Lytechinus pictus: one gene and its partners. The main gene of each other region encodes a partner of the protein of the gene in region 3 in a complex. Links are inferred from orthologs where the notes say so. Each region holds a gene or a part of one and is shown on either strand. Other genes may lie near its edges.

The links. The genes of interacting proteins can lie anywhere in the genome.
Region 1: the proteins of complex I assembly factor ACAD9, mitochondrial-like (region 3) and evolutionarily conserved signaling intermediate in Toll pathway, mitochondrial-like are in contact, whole or in part, in a cryo-EM structure (PDB 8PHE), measured with the Homo sapiens proteins. The link is inferred for Lytechinus pictus from reciprocal best matches to the Homo sapiens genes ACAD9 and ECSIT. Residues at the interface, in NP_054768.2 of Homo sapiens: Leu180, Thr181, Asp188, Ala189, Ala190, Ser191, Ile192, Lys228, Lys239, Asp240, Lys241, Ile242, Phe293, Ala296, Met297, Leu300, Ile431, Met434, Tyr435, Leu438, Thr439, Leu441, Gln442, Gly445, Thr449, Leu516, Gly520, Lys521, Ile523, Met524; in NP_057665.2 of Homo sapiens: Pro321, Glu322, Glu323, Trp324, Asn325, Leu326, Tyr327, Tyr328, Pro329, Met330, Leu332, Asp333, Leu334.
Region 2: complex I assembly factor ACAD9, mitochondrial-like (region 3) and transmembrane protein 186-like share a complex: the UniProt entries of both Homo sapiens proteins name them as parts of the mitochondrial complex. The link is inferred for Lytechinus pictus from reciprocal best matches to the Homo sapiens genes ACAD9 and TMEM186.

The regions. Positions count from the first base shown.
Region 1 is NC_087254.1:24,882,751-24,889,922, forward strand, and holds the start of evolutionarily conserved signaling intermediate in Toll pathway, mitochondrial-like, read right to left. Parts: upstream 3,011-7,172; 5' UTR 2,886-3,010; intron 1-2,885.
Region 2 is NC_087249.1:2,092,594-2,099,632, forward strand, and holds the start of transmembrane protein 186-like, read right to left. Parts: upstream 3,011-7,039; 5' UTR 2,940-3,010; exon of another isoform or gene 2,896-2,939; intron 1-2,895. UniProt on the Homo sapiens protein: As part of the MCIA complex, required for efficient assembly of the mitochondrial complex I.
Region 3 is NC_087247.1:7,772,463-7,780,217, forward strand, and holds the start of complex I assembly factor ACAD9, mitochondrial-like, read right to left. Parts: upstream 3,036-7,755; 5' UTR 2,948-3,035; coding exon 2,621-2,947; intron 1,577-2,620; coding exon 1,483-1,576; intron 603-1,482; coding exon 501-602; intron 1-500. Other genes in the region: protein FAM50A-like, read left to right, coding at 3,292-3,402, 5,724-5,811, 6,419-6,506, 7,335-7,477. UniProt on the Homo sapiens protein: As part of the MCIA complex, primarily participates in the assembly of the mitochondrial complex I and therefore plays a role in oxidative phosphorylation.

The DNA.
Region 1 (7,172 bases), on a different chromosome or scaffold from region 3:
TATAAATAATGAAAAACAAATAATCATTATTTATAAATAATGAAAAACAAATAATCATTATTTATAAATAATGGAATGTCGAACTATTATTATTTACAAATAATGAAGTATTACTTGGAATTATATATAAATAATTAGAAATGATATTTTATATAATAGTAGTTATTTACAAATAAAATGTAAATTATATATAAATAATAGTTATTATTTAATAAATAATGATTATATAACAAATAATTGTTCTATATAATAATGGTACATTCGGCGCCTCATACATGATAGACAAAATTAAAATACAATTACAAGGTACTCTAGTAGTCATCTTTGAATTTGAAAAAAAAAAATAAAACATTCTCTTTCTCTTCTTCTCCTTTATCTTAATACAGTTATTGCAGTTTTGATGCGTAGTTGACAGTTTAAAAATGTCCGAACTGACTGAAATTTCATTTAAAAAATGGCTCCTGGTTCCACCAACGTGGCACCTGGTCATCCAAAAAATAAAAGGGACCAGGAGCCACTTGCCTTCAAATGTGGCTCCTGGTCCACGCCGAGTTAATAAAAAGCTTGAAAATCAATATTCTATAGCAGAACAATATTTGCTTTTATTATTGCATACTAGTAGTGCCGGTCTAGCTGTTTGTTGCCCCCAAAAATGTAGCTCCCTTAAAATATAAGAAATAGCCCTCAAAAGATAGCCCCTAAAAATAAAAACTATTTCCTACTCTGCTCAACATAACTACCTCAACCAGTCTCACATCACAACACAATTCTCACATTTTTGCCATTACAGATTTTGAGCACAGGGCCGGAGCACAGGACTCGTCCGTGTAATATTAGGCAGTGGGTACTCACCAAAATGGGGTAGAATGGGGTCGTGATAGCACCCCAAATAAAAGGAGAAAAAATAAATTATGCACTTACCTCGATTATATGGATGAAGGTCTATCGTGACACAAAATCCTGACATCGAGGCACAAACTGGACTCTCAAAAAAAGGATAAGTTCTACCTCGTTCGTTCTCCTTCTTTCAAAATTGAAAACAAAATGGCCTATCGATACCGAGAACGAACGCGACATGGAGGTCTAACTTTTCCTTTTTTTGAGGGTCCAGTTCGTGCCTCAATGTCAGGATTCTGTGTCACGATAGACCTTCATCCATGTATGAGGTAAGTGGCTAAGTGCATAATTTTCTTTTCCCCCTTTTATTTGGAGTGCTATTGATTGTGATCCCATTCTACCCCATTTTGAAGAGTATCCCTGTCTGCCTAGTATTACACGGACGAGTCCTGGAGCTCATTGGGTTATCTAGACCTTAGTGAATGAACAAGAGGAAAGCCGGCTTTGCCTTTGGATGTTCTAAAGTTTTGAGCATTATGAAATTATTTTCTGATGTGTACGATCATGTACGCGTTCAGTAATACAACTACAAGTACAAGGCCGGTCGGTAATAGTAATCACCTCACTAACGTTAAACACGATTTTAAACTTAAGTTGACGTGCGCACGGCCAATATGAGAGAGTGTCTCCCAAGAGAGAGATTATCTCCAATATCAGAGACTTTTGTAAAGAATTTTGGGTATCCAATAATTCAGAGACACTCAGTCTCCAGTTTGGGACCAATTTCCTTCGTTTACATTTGCTGCAAAGGGATTAACCTGGCAGCAAATAAAAATGTGATAAACAGATTCCTCATGAAAAATCACCCCTTTGGCTTTGCAGTCTACTTTAAAAATCCACCGTCTACTTTTGTTTTATTTTTGTTGTCAATTTCATGTTATACAATTACAAATAATGCATGCAGTCGAGTGCGTTAGTGGAAATGCAGAGCACGCGAGGTTTCTTTAGATAGGTGCCGCACTGTGCACGAGCCGCTGGCGGCGAGTGCCCAGCGTGCACCATCTGAAGAAACCGAGCTTTCTCTGCATTTACTTTTACGCACGACAGAGCAAGTGCATTATTTGTTTTATAAAATAGCAACACAGAAACAAATTCTTGAAAAGTTACAGTTGGACTTCTACCGCACTGGTTTGCTTGAGCGTGCAATGTCAATTTTCGTTGCGCACCTTTTGCACTGCCGTGCAGTGCACAAAAAAAGTTGGGTGTCATGTGACGCGTATTGGCCAATCGCGATGCTTGAAATAATACACCTATTTTATAACATCCACACACAAATGGGCTTCTAAGTTCTATTCTTCTACTTCTAGCTGACCGCAGTGAGCATGGCGAGACAAAATTTTGGATGGAAAAAATCATGCTTTTCATTTTGTTGGTGTTGTTTCTTTTGCAAAGCAAGTCTCCAATATGGGAGATTGTCTCCCATATGAATTGGCCGTGCACCTCTACTAGTACTGGTCAGCTGAAACTTAGCTTTAGGCTTAGGCCCTAGCCTTTTTTACTAGGCTTTACTTTAATTTAGGCCTAGTTCGAAAGTTTTGAAAGTGAAAATGGAAATAGGGCCTTTACTAAAGTAAAGGCTTTAGAAGTTTAGGGGGCCTAGACTCTACGTCTACAGCCATTCCGATCACAATATTTGGAAAAAGCTTTGGGCATAATGACCTTGAAATTCAATTGAGACTTGTTATGACATTTGTGAACAATTACTGGTGGAGAAAATCCCAGGATATTCTCTGGGAGACGGCTGGTGCGAAACTGCATGAGCGCCCAAACTTGTGCCCCCAAACACCAAAAACCATATTGATGGGACCGAACCGCGCACCCAAAGTTAAGCCCGGCCTGAAACGCAATAGCCTACCGTAAACGATGAAAACAGTGGAAGGGAAAGTCTGGTCTGACTTTGTTGACCACATGTATGAGGATCTCATATTGCAGCATGATAAGACATATAGTTTTTACACAAATAAATCTCAATAAGTAGAAATATTTACCCTATTTGGCTTTGCTAATTCATTGCTGTGGCCTAGCTCGCTCTGGTGATTGTCGATCGTCTCCTTACTTCGATCGGATCCGGATCGGAGGGAGCATGCGTAATTATTCGCGAACAATTCCAATACTGCTGCTGCATGCATGCAAAGCTCAGTTTCTAAAATTTTAAGGAATCATGATCCCATGATGGGATGCCAAGTGAAAAAAAATTGTGGGGCAATTTTATTTTGGGATATATGGTGTATATTTTAAAATGAAATAGAGAATTGCCATGCAGGCACCCCCCAAAAAAAATCATCCACCGTCATGACCGTGGCGATTTTTAGATAGTTTTTTTTCTGGAAGTGGTTGATTTTTCAACACAGTACTTTCAACTTCATTTCTGATTTGCTGACCTCTTTCATAGGGTATTAATGAATCATTGACAAAATTTATAAGAAATTGCATTTTTACGTGCATTTTAGGAAATTAGGGCTCAAATGCAAATTTAAATTTAGATGATGGGTTACTTAACCTATAGCTATGGCCTTGCATCCACTCATACACTCCATCATCATCACCATTATCATGAATACCACCACCATCCACATCATTATCAATATAATCACCATCACCTCATCATCATCAATATCATCACCATTATCATCACCTCATCATCGATCACCTTATCATCATCATCATCACCATCAATATCATCACCACCACCACCACCAGCATCATTATCATCATCATCACCTCATTATCATCATCACCACCATCAAATACAATCACCATGCACCATCACCATCATCACCATCCCATATCATCATCATCCCTAAATTGAGAGATTTGCTTACGGGATTTGCTTATATAGTAGTTACAGTTGTGGGTTGATTGGTGTGACGACTTATTTACTGTTTCATTTGATATAATATATATATAGAGAGTTGCCCTGATTTTTTTCACTTGTTATTTATAATGTACTTTGTGTGGATAAGTTTTTTTTATGAATTATATGTCTTTATGGTGCACTCGATCATCACAAGCACTGCTTACAGAGTTGCTACCTCCCATTGTGTTGTTATATTTTTTAACTTGTATTAATGCTTTTATCTTTCTTGAATTGAATCATATCATCATCAATATCATTGCCATCACCATTATAATATGTTGAAGGGGAAGTTCACCCTGAAAAAATGTTTATTGTGAAGAAAAAAAAAAAAAACAGTGGTGAAGGTTTGAGAAAAATCCATCAAAGTATTAAAGGAAACCAAAATCCAAGATGAGAAGCAATTTTATTGGAAAGAGTAAAATGAGAGGAACAATTTAAAACAAGTTTCATCAAAATCGGTGGTGAAATAAGCAAGTTATGGATGTTTAAAAAGTCTTGTACTTTCTATGGGGATCCTCAAATTGTCCATGCTTCAAAATGGCTGATTTGTACACAATTTTACAGATTTTCCCCATTATCTTTAAAATTGCATATTGCCTCATTCTGAGCATAAAATATGTCATTGGAAAATATAATTCACACCACATACCGTATGTCAAGGTCAGGAGGAGATGTGAAATCTGTAAAAAAAAAAGGGGAATATCAAGTGTACAAGACAAATGGAGGGTTGTCCACAAAATCAGATTGAAGCATGTTTGTCAATTTGAGGATCCCCATAGAAAGTACAAGACTTTTCAAACTTCCATAATACCCTTATTCTATAACCCATTTTGATGGAAACTTGTTTTAAATTGTTCCTCCCATTTTACTCTTTCCAATAAGATTGCTTCTCTTCTTGGGTTTTGGTTTCCTTTAAAAGTTATTAGAAGTCTTATTTTTTTATTTGTGACGTCATATGCGAGCGGCGACACAGCATTTGCTCTGGTGACAATTGCTCCGGGCTTTATTTCCTGTAAGATATAGGGTTAGGGTATAGGGCTTTATGTTAGGTTTAGGATTAGAGGATAGGGTATTAAATCCAGGGTCGAAGATGGCCATTCCATAATTTTGTGGAATTCACAGCAGAGCAATTGTCCCCAGAGCAAATATAATGGTACACAATATATGCGAGCAGCTTAACCATATACCGGTATCATGTAGTAAAAAAATCAATAAAATGTCCCTTTTTCAACAACAAAAATGAAAATGATTTTTATTGTACCTTCAGTATGTCAACAGACAAATTATGTCACTGCGATGCTTGAAAGAAAAAAATATCTAGTCATAATGAAAAAAAAATGCATTTTATACATTAAGGAGCAGCTACTGGTATATGAAGTCACAAATAAAAAAAACTTGAAATTTTAACAACTTCCTTTATCTTTGATGGATTTTCCATAAACCTTTACCAATATTTCAATGTTTTTCTGGTATTTTTACAATAATTTTTTCTTTAAGGTGAATTTCCCCTTTAATGCACTTCCTCATGTGTAAACCTGGACAACCTAAAGTAATGGCTCTCCTTGTAGTATATATATGAAATAAGTAATAGATGACTAAGTTTTGTGACCAAAGGATTCATATACACACACCATTACCAAGGGAATGATCTTATATTTCTCATCTTTCATTTTTATCCTTGCTTCCCCATTGAGAAAATAAATCACCCTTCCCAAGATCACCATAAACTGATTTAGATTTGAGATACTTCTGTTGCATTTGGCAGTCATATTGATGCACTTGCATAAAAATTGTTTTTTTCGGGCAGATGCTCACAACGGCATTTTTTCTTTGCGAAATTTGAAGTAGCCTTCCGAGTGCACATTTCATCACCTGTATATATCTCTTCATATATACCATCCCACTCCAAAAAGTGAAGATATAGATGGGCAATTCCGTAAAATAATCAACCTTTTTGTACATCCGACCCCCATTTTTAAGTTTTACTTTACTTCATGAACTGACCAGGTCATGATTGTTTGAGAGCATTAAAGACTATTAAAAGAACCAGAAATCAGAGACAGAAAATGTCATGAAGGTCCCACAAACATGGGGTCGGACATACATACTTTTTGTAATAGCCCAGATATACCGGTATACAGGAGGTAAAAACTAAAGGGAGATGAGGGGATATTTATTGAAAAATTATTTTTTACATTCCTTTTCATCACCTTCCATTTCAATTCTTACTACATGCTCCATTTCTCACCTCTCTCTCTCTAATCTCCATACCAGTTCTCCATTCCTCCTCCCTCCCAATTTTCTCTGACTCTCTCCTCCCCCCATCCTTATCCCCTTCTCTCTATTTCTCTTCTTTCTCTCAAAATTTCAGGCTTGTAAAGACAAGGGAGGGGGAAGGGGACAAGGTTCAGATATCAGGAATGTGAATAATTAATCATAGGAAACAGAAATAAGTTCAGTTCTGCTTCTTAGTGGTCTTTTATTGTTACCGGTACTTTTTTTGTGTAAAATATAACATGAACACATGCCTGGATCGTGGCCTGAAAAGCAACATCCCTCTGATGTAAATTTATGGAAATGATGTGTGGTATTCTTTAAAAAAAATGCATAGGTCATAATAGCTACAGTTTATACAAAAGACAAACAGAATTCAATCAAGTATGTTTATTCATTATTTAACTGCTTTATTTACAGGAAGATCGTAGGACAAGGAATAGTTATAAGCTTTACATGACTATCATATAATAGTGTCACTATTATCGAATAGGAGATCAATTATCATGCAAATTTAGACCTTGCCTACCGAGGTGAAATTGAAAAGTCAATGGTCCTTTAACTTTATATTGTTAACAGAACTCCCAACCACTTTAGCTGCAAAATCGGAATGGTTTATCACATTAAACAAAATATAATGAGAAAGAAACAGCATTTCAATCAGAGAGTAAAGGAATAGTCGAATAGAGTATAATTAAATATCACAGCAAGAGGTAAGAAAGGTGACGATTCCCACTCTCTTCATCATAATCAGAATTAGTCCAGGATAGAAGAGGCATAACCTTGTTATTTTATATATACAATATTTTTTGATGGTTTCTTGTCAATTCGAGGGTGCTGATTACGAATCTGGATGATGCCACTCGTGTAACCTTGAGCATTTTCCGCAAATTGGCAAAATCCAATATGGCCGCCAAAATATGCAAATTACCCATGAAAATCATAAAATTGTCCGCACATTGGCTATGAAATGCATGACATTGTGTGGCAGGAATTAAATACTCTGAAAAAATAATTTTTGACAAAATATTTATTTTCCTGATATTCAAAATGGCTGCCAAAGGCCCTTGTATACGCTATTATGTACAATATGAATAGGGAAAACTAATTTTCACAAAAATGAGCACTAAAGTGCAAAAAATCG
Region 2 (7,039 bases), on a different chromosome or scaffold from region 3:
AGAGATGTATTATATTGTGCAATTACTCGCATTGACTCTATGGGAGAATATCAGATGAGTCACTGTTTTACACTACATTTGTCAATTTAATGCTGTATGCAGTGTGAAAATATGATGCAGATGCATACCGGTATTTCTTAAATGAGATGAACTGAACTTCTAATATAAGGGGAAAATAACAATCTGACTCATTGTTACACTTGTACAGTGTAGAAGTCAAATAGACTGCAACCTTTATAGCATATCATGGGCTTATTGGTTCATGATTCATTTTTACTCAATGAATAATGAATTCCATTCATTGTAATTCAATCCCTTTGTAGTTTTTATACCTACTTTGTAACTTAATCAATTGATCCCCCATAGGACATTTCAATAACAAATTACAAATAAGGTGCCCCTTAATTACATAACATTTTTAGTTACAATTTTTATATCCTTATTTATCATATTAGGCAAAATCAGATCGAAGGATCGACATTTATACAGTGCGTCCCACAAAAAACGAAACCGAGATTTATCGATGATTTATCATAACTTAATCGCAAATACAATAGACAAATGACCTACCATTTTAAAGCTTAGAATCTCCTCTTTCATCTGAAATTACTTAGATTATTTTTCATTCACGCATGAGTGAGCAAAAACAATTTGAAAAGCGGATACCAAAAAGTCACTTGGTGGGCCGTATCTGGGTTTTAAAAAGAAAACCACATTTTTAAAAAGTTCAATATCTGCTCTTTAATTTGATACCTCAATTACAGAAAATGGTCAAGAAATAAAAAAGTTCTGGTTATTTGAAATAAGGCTTGAATTTCAATAATTTCATAAAATGAAGAGGTTTTACAGGCTAGAGTTCACACTCACTCGACACTCCGTTTTGTTGACGATCAGCCATGCATTAAGTCTTTTGTTACCGTGCGATAGCTTCAGTGGGAAACCGGTGAAAACACGTTTATTTAATGAAATTATGGAAATACAAGCATTGTTTCGAGGGATCATAACTTTTTTACTACTTGACCATTTTCTGTGATTTAGGTATCAAAGAAAAGAGAAGATATTGAACTTTTTAGTCATGTGATTTTCTTTTTGAAATTCAGATACCCCCCGCCAAATGAGTTTTTGGCATCCTTTCTTTGAATTGTTTTTGCTCAATCATGCGTGAATGAGGAATAGTCTAAGTAATACCAGATGAAAGAGGAGATTCTAAGCTTTAAATTGGTAGGTCATTTGTCTATTTTATTTATGATTAAGTTATGATAAATCATCGCTAAATCTCGGTTTCGTTTTTTCTGGGACGCACTGTATAACTAATTTTCTGGACAATTGCTAGGGAATTTGATCACAGTCCATTTTCATATCCTGAAGGAAAAAAAAATCAATATTGCCAGGGGCACTTTTAGGAACTTTCCCTACAATACTACTAGACAAACAACTTCAGTCTCTGTAAATTGGTTGTTCCACTTAACTACGTTGGCTCCACTCACCAATACTGAATGGGGACGATAGTAAAGTGTCAGAAATTGTTAAATAAATGCCCAGAAACGACAGTTATTCATGTCTACTACAATACATGCTACTTAATTCCTTCTTTAGACTAGACCTATAAATTTGAAATTTGACATTATTTATGAACCGTATTGTATGATCCTTTTAATTTAAGTTTTTTCCGTACCGTAGACTTAATTATTCTAATAACGTTTATTTAAGTGTTAAACTTATTGAATTGGAAAAAAAATATCATCAAAAGGTTTCAAGTGTTGTGTAATCTCACCACTTAAAGTAGTCCCTTAAAGCATATAAATGAAAAATTAATAAATAAGGTTTGAGGGAAACAAAAACAGACAATCATCATGAATGATCATGGGTCTTCATGACAATCCCAATAATCCCATACCACGTCATGCATGACTACTCATTATTTATAGTTATACTTATATATCATTCATAGTCCATACTCTCACTCTAGCTCTGCTCTGCCTCTGTCGTGCTGCATCGGCAAATGCACCAACTAAGACAAAGGTCTGATACAGCTTGCAGCCTAGGAAGTGAAGCTTACAAAAAAAACAGGTAAATTTCGTGATTGTGTAATATTTAATAAAGTATTAAATTTATTAAAGGACAAGTCCACCCCAACAAAAAGTTGATTTGAATAAAAAGATAAAAATCCAACAAGCAAAACACTGAAAATTTCATCAAAATCGGATGTAAAATAAGAAAGTTATGACATTTTAAAGTTTCGCTTAATTTCACAAAACAGTTATATGCACATCCTGGCTGGTATGCAAATGAGGAGACTGATGATGTCATCCACTCACTATTTCTTTTGTATTTTATTATTTGAAATATGAAATATTCTCATTTTTTCCTAATTGTCGAGTGATACAACGATTGATTCCTCCCTGAACATGTGGAATTAGCATTGTTTAATACTATATGGTTCAGTCAAGTTGGTCTTTATTGTCAAATCTATAAAAAATGAAATATTGTATAATTCAAACAATAAAAAACAAAAGAAATAGTGAGTGAGTGACATCATCGACTCTCTCATTTGGATGTAACTGGCTCGTTCATATAACTATTTTGTTAAAAATAAGCAAAACTTTGAAATGTCATAACTTTCTTATTTTACATCCGATTTTGATGAAATTTTCAGCACTATGCTAGGTTAATTTTTCTCTATTTATTCAAGTCAGCATTTTCCTGGGGTGGACTTGACCTTTAAGAACGTTTTTCTACTCCACGAAAACATATGTGTGGGACTAATATAGCTCGCAGCTACTAAAAGTACTAGCAGCTACCATGCATAGGAAGAAAATTAGGAAATTGTATTCTAAGCCAAAAAAAAGTGCGTATAAGCATATAAATATTTTCGGGGGAAATATAAATACGAACCAAATTCAAAAGGATAGGATGGACGATAAATAACAGCTGAATACCTTTCTCTTTCAGTTCACATGGGAGCATACATTGATTTTACTGGGATACCTTCTCTGATCTGAACTAGACTCTTTTCATAGCTATACGTTACCGGAACTAACTAACGGCACGCGGTATAGAGATAAGAGCACAGTCTTCAAGGCTTTAAAGGGGAGATGACGTCATGATTATTTACATTGCTCGAGCTAGTCGAAGCTGAAGCTCAGCCTCAGGCCTCAGTTCAGGTTGTAATTTCATTTTTGTTGTAATGTAACCAATATTTGATCTCATTTTCTTAAATCTTATCCACAATTGCCCACAATTACCTCCACTGGTGTTCGTGCAGGCTCCACTCCACTTCACTACCGATACACTACGCTTTGTACTGTACGTCTGTAGCGTAGAAGCCGGCCGTGGCGTAGGCGTAGTCTAGTGACTGTGTACTACTACTAGTACGGTACTAGTATTACTAGCGGGGAGCCTCGCCTCGCATGTTTTTGTTTGTGAAGTTGTGTGACAGTGAGTGAGCTGGGGTCTGTTGCATGCCCGGGGGGGCCACTTCCATTCACGAGTGGATACCATGCGCGACCATGGGGTCTCGAAAAAGCACCCTAAACACGTAATTTCCATATTCTGAAAATGCAGCCCTTAACATAAGTATTGGCGTGTGAAACCCTACCCTTAACAAGTATTGGAAACAAAACGATATACTCTTGGCCCTGACTCTTGGCAAATATTCCTTGATATATGATCCCCTGAACAAGTACAGGAATGTTTTATTGTTACGGGTCCTTCGGTCGTCGGCTTTACCTTATTTGGTATAGTACGACCCCATCTTCTACACCTCGCGCAAATCGGACTCTAAACACGAAGTGTTGGGGCAAAATGGACATCCTTTAAGGCTTTATAAAACATTTTAATTTTGTTTTATCATTCCCGCAAATTCGACCCTAAACACGTAATTTTACTAGCGAAATAGACACCCTTTTTTCATTATTTTTGTGTTTTTGACACCCTTATCACGTTACGTACGTAACGTGCCCTATCGTGAAAAGGACATCCTTTTTACGTGTTTTTTTGGTCGCGCATGGTATCCACTCGTCAATGTAAGTGGCCCCCCCGGGGTTGCATGAAAGGGTCTTTCCAAGGACCGTCTTTCGTGTCGCCCATTTATTATGATGCGCCATGTGAAACACATTTTAAATAAATTACCTGCAAACATATTTTATTCATCTGTTAAAGTAAACAAAATCTTTGTTTATAAAATGATGTGATATATCAGGAAATTGTAATTTGTATACAAATCGATTAAAATGCTAGCTAACAAATTTTATTTGTTTATCATAGTACATTTCAGTAAAATCCCGCATACAGCGCATCATAAAATATGGGCGACACGAAAGATGGTCCTTGGAAAGACCCTTTCGTGCAATCGGCCCCTGAGCGGGGAGTGGAGCCTGCACGAACATGACTAACCGGTAACCCAGGGAGCTCTGGCCCGCTTCGTGGGCCGGAGCCCAGGAGTTGACCGTGCAAAACGAGGGAGACACTGGGGTCTGTTGCATGACGAGATGAGCGATACGTAGCCGTAGGAACGTCCTAGGACCATTCTTCCGAGATAGGAAGATTGGCGACAAATCAGCGCTTACCGTTTCACGGAGGTAATTTTGTCTTCCAAGTCCGCGACATCGTTTGATATCGATTATAGTATCGGAAAAATATTTAGTCTTCATCGTCACCTGAACCTTTTATTTCGGAATGACAACTTTTCATAAAATCATATATTTCAATAAATGGAGATCAAATAATGTTTTAATTATTACTGATTGTAGAATTGATGTATGGAGCTTACTTTATGAGGTAAAAGGAGAAAAAACTTTAAAGATTCACAAACAAACTGGATAAAATTGCAAAATTTTCATTTATATTTCTCTTATTTAGAACACGGTGTCCTTTTAGAGACACCTTTCATTGATATTTCAACGAAAGAGACCCTTGACCAACATAAAAATTGAATTAACTAAGCAATTTTGACATTGTATTAATTCAATATTCTGATTTTTTTATAGAATACTTATTTATAATGATGATTTTGCAAATTATGCGTTAAATGTTATTTGTTGAGGTAAAAATAGGGTTTGAATGGAGTAAACAAAATCAATGTGTCTGATTGTTTGAGACTAAAAAGGAAAATATGAGAGGCTGCTTGTGAAAAATCTTATTTATCTTATTTGTCAGATATCACGCAAGAAATACCTTTGCATGATGAGTAATCGAAGACAAGCAAAATATGAAAATTGCTGCAAACATGTCCAAGTGGGTAAAGTAGTGCTTTGCAATAATAAAACATAGAAAAATGTGTGAAATCAATCCGCAATGGAAAAAATACAATTTTCAGAAACAATGCTAAAAATGACAACTATCATAAACGTTGGTCATATTTAAAGTTGATAACTTTATGATCACAAATTTCCTTGTTGACCATAGTAGATTGCGAGACAAATGAATACCCTCTAGCGATTATTTCAGTCCGCAATAATGAACCTATTTAGTATTAACTTTATGGAAGTTTATATAAGAATATAAGCTTTAAGAATATTATGTTCAACATTTCAAAGTTAAGGAGTCGAGACTACATTATTGCTTTAACATGACATAGGGGCCGATAGGTCCTACCCTACGATTTAAAATGCGCCTCTTCGTATGGACTTTTCATAATCTTTTCTTTTATTGATACAACAAACTTATCCTCATTTATAATGATTGTGATGGATTCGTAAGCTATTAGGCCTAATCTATATATTAAATTCAATTAGCTATTTTGTTAAGTCACTGCAGATTTTTTTTGTTTCATTCATCATCTCAAGTTAGCACAAATCCATCAATTAATTTTCATTAATTAAAATTAATCTCGGCAAAAAATAATAATAATTGTCATCAGTGGCGTACCTAGGATTTTCCACAGGGGGGGCAAAATCGGCCGCCAAAAAATTTGACAAGCAAAAAAAAAAAAAAAAAAAAAAAAAAGGTCTTCAGGCTCTTCAGGGGGGGCATTAAAGGTCTTCAAGTTCGTCAGGGGAGGGGGCAAAAAAGGTCTTTTAAGCTCGTCAGGGGGGGCAGGTATATGTCTTTTGTATGGGTCATGGTTGCTCGTCAGGGGGCAGAGTGCCCCCTCTGCCCCCCCCCCCCCCCGTAGGTACGCTAGTGATTGTCATTATGAAAATGAAATAAAAATAAATAAATGATTAAGCATGTTTAGTAACATCTTAGTTTTGTATCGTGCTGTCTTTTTTTCGTTGAACGTTATAAACACGTTTTTTACCATTCATAATGATCTCTTTAAAAAAAAAATAGTTTTCATGTTGTTTATCTAATGAGAGGCTGCCGCTCATTTCGATATTTCAACTTCAAGTTTAATTTAAAAAAAAAACTGGAAAGGGGGTGGGGAAAAGACAGGAGGGAGAATAAAAGAAAACATACTAAAAAAAATTATTTGGGCCTAGATTGACCCCGGAGAAGTTAAAGTGACACCCGTTTTGGGTCGTCTTGCCATGCAAGATGATCTGGGCCCCGTCTTACAAAGAGTTACAATTGTTTCAATCAATCTTAACTCTATGAAAATCCATCAGTGTCATAATTTTTTCTACAGGAAATTTGCAAAATGTCCTTTGTAAACAAAGAACACATCGAATTATCTAGAATTCAATGAATTTATGGATATACATTCATCTATAAAAAAAATTTGAGCAAACATGCATTTTATATGTTGACTTTGCTGGCTTTCCATAGTTGTGATTGATCGGATCAATCGCAAGTCTTTGTAAGACGGGCCCCTGAAATTATCCCCCCCATATAAAAAATAACTTGGCGCCATCCCAGATAAAATGCATCAGAGTGCACTCGAATGACCCCCCCCAAAAAAAAAATGTTTAAAGGTGATATGTCAGTGTGGCTTGCCATAAACGCATATTCTCTCAATGCTGACGGTGGCGGGCGGTGTGCAAAGAAGATCATGCCTACGTAGGACATGTCTGGAGGTGTCTTTCCAAGGATCATTCTTTGCATCGCCCAAATCGGCTTTGTGAAACAGTTGAGCGATATCTCGTTCTTATGTAGAGCG
Region 3 (7,755 bases):
TGGATATAAAAAAAGGGAACAAAAAAAAATATCACAAAGAAAATGGAATTTTCAGATATAACTTACTCAGGAAAATTATGATAACAAAAGCAATGTGAATTTGAAAATAATAATTATTAACCACAGAAATATGTATATAAGATAGAAAGAAAGATATCAAACATTGAAGAATAGGCAGAGAAAGAAGAGGGGAAGTAGGGAGGAATATCATATTATTTTTTTAATACAACCTACTCACAAACACACATAATTCTTCACCTTTGTAGAATATATGTAGCCTACATACAATATTTATTTTGCCAACTACCAGAATAGAACTTTGATATATTACAGGTAACATGCAAAAATAGCAATAATTCCTCAAGTACAACTCTTTGAATATTACACAATTCATTAAAAAAAAAGAGCTTCAATTTATTCAAGCAACAAAGTGATCTCTGAAATACTTATCCTATGCATATACAAAGTAAAAAAAAATACACACACAAAATTCTTATTACCATAATCTTCAGGAACCTGTTGACCAAAGAGACCAAGATCTTTTAAACCTTGCAATGTTTTCTCATCGATTTTGGCATTTACATCAATTGTTTTGGAGTCCACTGTAGAAGGTAAAAAAAAGAAAATTCAGACTCTCTAACTGGGTTCAGCATAAAAGATAGGCCTAAGAGTTATTTTCAATATGAGCTTTGAAAATTATTTAAGACTGAAATTTGTACTAGCTGTATCAGACTTTCCAATATTCTTTGTGAATGTGTGCATCAAGGTCTTCATTCTTGTATTACTTATATAGTCAGGTGACCTTCACAGCCCTAAATAATACATGTGGCTGGAAGCATGCTTGAGGTAGCAACATGAACAAATTATATCAAAACATTAAAATCTCTTTAAATAAGGACATATTTCCATTATATTTTATTTTTTCTTGTATCCCCTCAATCAAGAAATGTAAGCGAGCTTTCAAATCTGACAGTGGACAATGTTGCTATTTCTTTTAAATGACAGGATACAAATGTGATTTCCCTATGATTTTTGTCTTCACTGCTATCCTTGGTATCTCAAAGAATAGCAACCACCTTGCTTATTTTGACAAATAAAAGAAATGTGGCAAAGATGAATGTATGAAATAATTCTATACTTCTTTATACTGATTCAAAAAAGGAAATCTTCATCTGGTTTTACTTTCTAACATTTTTAAGTAAGAAAATGATATTAAAACATTTTCAGTAACCTTGAATTTACACTGGTTGACTAGATTATGGTCCCTAGACACCTCATTATTATAGTGAAGTAAATGAACAGAACAAAGTATGGTGTGACAGGGTTAAGGTCCCATAGGACCAGTTAAAAACCCATTAACATATACATATGATACATATCATTATAAGCATTTTATTCAAAATATTAAACTACATGTAAGCTCTCTATACAAAAGATAGAACATATACATGGGTATGAAACATTTTAAAATAACTATCCTACCTTCTTCATTGAAATATTTCTCAATAGGATCACACATTTGGTTGAGATGTTCAAACTGCTCCACTGTGATTTCAGGGAAAGGGAATGCATCATCCTAAAAGTAATATGTAATGAAACGCAAAGTTAATCATACGACAGGATAATTTAATAATAATGTAAAATGATAATAATGTGAATTATAAAGTGCCAACTCCACTCTGTAGAGTGCTCAAGGCGCATAAAGAGCTAAGAGTTAAATAAAAAAGTTTTTAGATTTTTGAAAGTTTCGACAGAGGTACATTTTTTAATGTCTTCAGGAAGGCTGTTCCACAAAGGGGGCATGCAAAAGCAAATGATCTTTCCCCCCAGGTTTTTGAAACTTTTGGAATAACAAGGAAGCCAGAAGTGGATGAACGCAAAGACCTGCTTGGTTTGTAGTAATTAATAAAGTGCATCCCACAAAAAAGGAAACCAGGATTCCCATGTCTTTATTCTTCAAAGGCAAAAGAATTATGATATTTCACTTTATACAGGATCATATAATTAAATATTCCTGTTTATTTTGATACCTAATACGAGACAAACACTTCACGCATTAATGAGCAAGATGAGTTTGAAATTTTAATGTAAAAATCAGGTTGCGCAGAAAAATTGGACAAGATTGGTTCGTGATATGTCTGCTACCTCGGCTACATTTGCTTGACGGCGAGTCAAAAATAGCCGTTTTATCCGTCTTTATTCATATGTAGCTGTTACAAAATGTTAAAACGGCTGTTTTCAACTCGCCGTACGGCCGCCAGGCATAGAGCAAATGTGACCGAGATATAACTTAGTCTTAGTCTTGGGTATAGATTTTTATTCTAAATCAAAAACGCTAAACAAATGACCACTGCACTGGACTACGTCTTGTTCCACTGGAGGAGAAATTTAAAAAAGTTTTAGAAAATTCAAAAAATAAAAACTCCTCCAGTAAAAAGGTTGATTTTAGCTGTTGCTAAACATAGTCGTAGAGTAAATTTTGCTGGTTTAACATGTTTATAGCTACAGTCACAGTCTAAATTAGATCTAGATTATATGTTTAAAACTAAAAATTAAAATAGGACTCCGGGAGTACGGTCATGACGGTACATATTTTGGGGGTAAACATATGATACGGTACCTTGTTAAATTTGCCAAGACAAAGATTTTTGGCGAATCCGACTGGAGAAGCTGTGACTCGAGAGACGCTTGACGCCGCTGCAGAGCTCGGACTCACAGAATCTTGGAAGCGGGAGGCCGATGTGGCAACCCCCCGTGCTGCCGGGGAAGAGTTTTGATGTGAAGTGCCGGCAGTGTGTCTTCCAATGTGAATTGTTCCTGTGGCAGGATCTGTCCATTTATGAAAGCAATTCACAGATCTGTTTGGTATGAGTTCGGTCCCATTAACAGACCTTGATATTAAGTGAGAATGAATATTTTGAACATTGCGAAAATTGCGGCAAAACATGACTGCATTCAATAATTCTCCACAAGTTTTAAGATTTTTACTTGGGGACTTTCCCTGAAATATGCCAGCAAAGAACGTATTATGTAAGTGGGAGATTAGACTTATGGTAAGGGGCGGTCTTAATTGATGGGAATATCTTTGTGGTTGCTGATGGAGATATTTAGCATTTTGACTCATTATGGATGAAAAAAGAATGATTGAATAATATAATAAATTAATATTGTCTCGATATTGAATGCAATTTATATTGATACATTCTATAAGTTTATCACACTTTTAACGATGTGAACTTTTCAATGGAGCCTCGGCCTCCAAAATAGTGGTATCGTCCTAAGCTGGAAAAAATGGCCGAGTACAAGGGAGCAGCCAGCGAGGCTGGAAGAGTTCGTCAACTTTTGATGAAACGGGAGAAACAGAGAGAAGAGCTAGAACGTTTAAAACAACGCATAGAGCAGGTAAGATCTGAAAAATATTTTTTTCGGTAATATTGGTGAATTAACTGACATTATTCGGGGAGTAGACGACTGCCAATCAATGGTGCAGTGCACCGAGAACTTTGTGAGTCAGCCGTTTGCTGCTGAGAGGCGCGGGGAGTCTCGGCGTGTGCTAAGCTGAGTTACCGCTAGACCAAAAGCTTCGGTCTCTGTTATGTTGGTTGTTCAGCTGAACTCCGTTGGCTTCACTCACCAAATACAGAGACCGAAGTTCTAGCGCGATCTGTACAGGGGACTCAATGGCCATATGTTTATGTACTTAAGATCGGATAAAACGGGGAAGTGAATTTGCGCGACAGCCGAGGTAAGTCACTGTTTTTGTTCCTTTTAACTTGATTTTTCTCGGTTTTTTGGCAATTGATGCCAAGACTCAAGAGGGAATATTAATTTGCATTTTGGTCGCGTGAATTTTCAAAATTTTTACTCATTAAAGACAAAAATTGAAGAGCCCCGACGGGGGGATTTTGCATTGCAAGTCCCCTAATGGTGGCTGCACGCTAGCGAGCCGTCTGTGTATGAGGAGAAATTAAAAAAAAAAAAATGTTAAAAAACTCCTCGAAACAGACGGCTGCCAGCTGTCTAAGTTACCGCTAGCTGCTTACTTAGTGCTGCCTGAGGCTGAGCTGCGCCTGCTACAGTGCTAGCTGCTGGAGTGCTGCTTTTGTGGATCCATGCTCTCATAAACATAATCGATTATGACATTGGATTGTAAAGTATACTCTGTGGAGGTGCGGATGGATGGCGTTATCAACTTGGAGAATATTTGCTAGCTTACGAGAGATAACTGTCCAAGACGCGTCTCATTTGTTTGTACATATGTAATCAAATTGATAATTTGTATTGTATTTTTCTTATTAATTTTCTCTGCGTTTGAGTGGAAAGCCAGCATGAAAATGAGAATAAGCAAACACAGTGGAAATAAGCCTCATCATAGTACAGGAAAAATAAACAGTTGCTGTGAGTGTGAAGATGGTGGATGGAGCCTTGGAGGGGTAGAGAAAAAATAGGCCATGTGTCATGAGGTCGCCGACCAAAAATGGGTGGTGTTACATATTTTGGTTAATTTGTGTTGAGTTATTCCTAAGTATTTTCAAAATCAAAGAAGCTATGCCAACAAGTTTGGTATCATTTTCAAGCTGAATTCATTGGCTAATGATTTAGAAAGTTTCATTGCTCTAGGATAAGTAGAACACATCTTTAAAGACGGAGCACCGGGGATGGTGCGGGCAGCGATGCCACCTGTAGGAAGTCAATGGGGATTGATTCTCAATACTTTGTGCTATTTTGGGTAGAACGTTAATATTTTTGTGAAAACTTGACTTCCAACTAAAAATTTGGTATCATATTGAAACTACAACAATCTTCTTTACTGTTAATTGATTGAAAAATAGTTTTGGCAATGTCATTATCATTCAAATACCAAAAAACATTGAAAAAGAAATAGAAAATTGTTGAAATTCTTCAAGTTTCACAACAATCCTTCCATATTGAAACATTTTCTTCATTTATTAGTTATTCTTAGTTATATTAAGTAATTCTTAATTTCAATGTACCTTTTGTAAGATACAGAAAACAAGTGACTATTCTGTAGGATGAAAGTAATAAGTGAATACTTGGCTTTGTTCAGACTTACAATATGTGAAGAATCTTAGGAGTATTATTTGGTCTAATGATATCATTATCAGAATTTCTTTTAAATTGTTTTATACCTTTAATAAATCAGATGAACAAGTAGATTTAACCACAATGTAATTGCAATGCAGGCAGAAATAGCATGCACAATATACATTTATTATTTTTAGGGAAAAAGATTGCATAAGTTCTCGTTGATTTTGAAGTAATTTCATAACCATAAACCCAATAAAATTACACATTGTTAAAAAGGTCTGTACTGTACAGAAATGTCATTATTTTGGTCATCGGGGGACCATGTATTTTATTATAATCACAAATATGAGATTGAAAAATATTAAAAATTTTCCATTCAACATAATATAACACTAATGCCTTACACATATTGCTGTTTCTGAGTGAATATTTGGGTTCATTGAGCGATTTCCTTTCAGAAAATATATAGTTTTACTATCATAGGGTGTATACTTAGTGAAAATCACCATGTAACACGAAAGTAGGCGACCTCATGAGACACATGGCCAATAATATCCTATAATTCATAACTTTTATCTAATGATGGTCCATGACATAATGATACTGTTTGCTCTTGAAAAAAAGCATTCCTGAAAGTTTGTTTTTTCTATGATTTTGTTTCCTTTTGTTATCAGGACAGTGTCAGTCGAGTGTCTACCATCAGCGCAAAATTTTCGGCTCATTATGATGCAGTGGAACAGCAACTCAAGAGCAGCACCATTGGTACAGTATTTCATCATCTGCATTATTGAATCAAAGAGGGGGGGGGTACATGGGGCTTTGTGTGGTATCCATTTTGAAATGCTCCAAAGAGCCCACAAATTTTTTTTTTTTTTTTAAGCCCTAAAAATCCCCATTGACTGCAATGTCAAAGCTTTTCCAATGGTGCAGATTGTTTCTTTGAATTGTGAATTTAACATTGAGAAAGGACTTCATCGACTCACAATAGATCACAACAATGGCGACCTAACATTTTAGGGAAGTATCAAACTTTTTTTCACATTATAATAAACCAAAAAAATGAAGATATTTCACGTATCATATAATGAAATACACAAGTAAAGTGGGGTGATGTCTTCAGCTTCCTCAATTGCATTCTCACCAGGATGTGTATATAAATGTTTTGTGAATTCAAACAAAAGTAAAATGTCAAACTTTCCTATTGAACATTGAATATTTGAAGACATTTTCAGGTTCATGCTTGGTTGATTTTTCTCTTTTCAAGTCAGCATATTTTTGTATTTGGGCTTGGCCTTTAAATCAGTTTGTACTTTGCATTTAGAGATTTGTTTGTTTGTCACAACTCCTCTTTTTCTTTCTTTCTTTTTAGGTCTGGTCACCTTCGATCAGATGAGAGCAAAGAGAGAGGACTTGGTGAAGGAGAGAGAAAAGGAACTTGCACAATCATCTAAAGCTCTGTAAGTCAATTCATACACTCCAATCTCCACCGTAATCTATTTGGTGAAACGTTGGCATAACCGTGTGAGATCCAAATTGTACAGTTTTATTTTCTTAAACTTTGTGTGCCCTATATCGTCATTAAAAAAATGTAAACTTCTTCCTTTTTCCATTGCTTCACATCACAGAAATAACTCATAGAATGCGTTTAATAAGTAAAAAGTTGTTAAAACAAAAACGTATGGCAAAATTAAGGGAGTGTTTCATGGAGCATCTTGTTAGTGATTTTCACCAACTTATTTGTTCCGAGCCAATCAGATGCAAGGATTTCAGAAGCTTATAACAGTTGCCAGTGAAAATCACTATTTATTTAATGAAATACCCCCCAGGGCTGAGACAAAACCGAAAAATGATACTTGAAAAAATTTGACATTTCCTTTACCAAGAAATCATCCTAAAGTGCACAGAGTCAAAATGTAGAGTAATTTTTTAATTCAAGTACATTTTGCAATACAAATCAGTCTACTACATTGACTAGTATCATGCATGCAACATCTCTTTCACTTGAATAGCTGATTCATTGATCCCCCTCCCCCCTTCCAACCCATCCCTTATTACTGACCATTCAATAGAATTGAATTGAAAGACAGGGATGTTTTAAATGAGATTGCTTCAAATATTTCTATATACACTGAGAATAACTGAAATATAGACTGTCTCATTTGACCCTCGATAATGTTCTCGGAGAATTTCCAGGAAGAGGAAATTGTATTTCTAGAATGAATACCAATAAGCCGAACATTAATGACAGGCATGTTCTGTATCCATTGTTTCATGTGTTTGTACAGAGCAAAGGAACGAAAGAGGAAGAAGAAACTGAAGAATGCTGGAACGCTGTCATTCAATATGGATGAAGATGATGAAGAAGGAGAAGATGGAGTTTGTGATGATAAAGAGGAGGAAGAAGAAGATAAAGCAGATGATGAGTTAGGTGAGATTTTCATCATGTGTGTGTGTGTGTGTGAATATTGTGGGTTAAACTTCATAGAACATTTTAACCCAATTAACTGAAATCTAAATTAATGTAGTTGCAGCAAACGATGATATCTTGGGAAAGTCTTTAAAATCAAGGTGAAATGTGACCATATCATTGTACATCTGGATCTGGTACATAATTTACTTGTTCTTATGAAACATGAAATTTACGCTGAAAAATGATCATAATTAGATATTGCCTACGAAGATAAGCACATATGGGACAGTGTATTA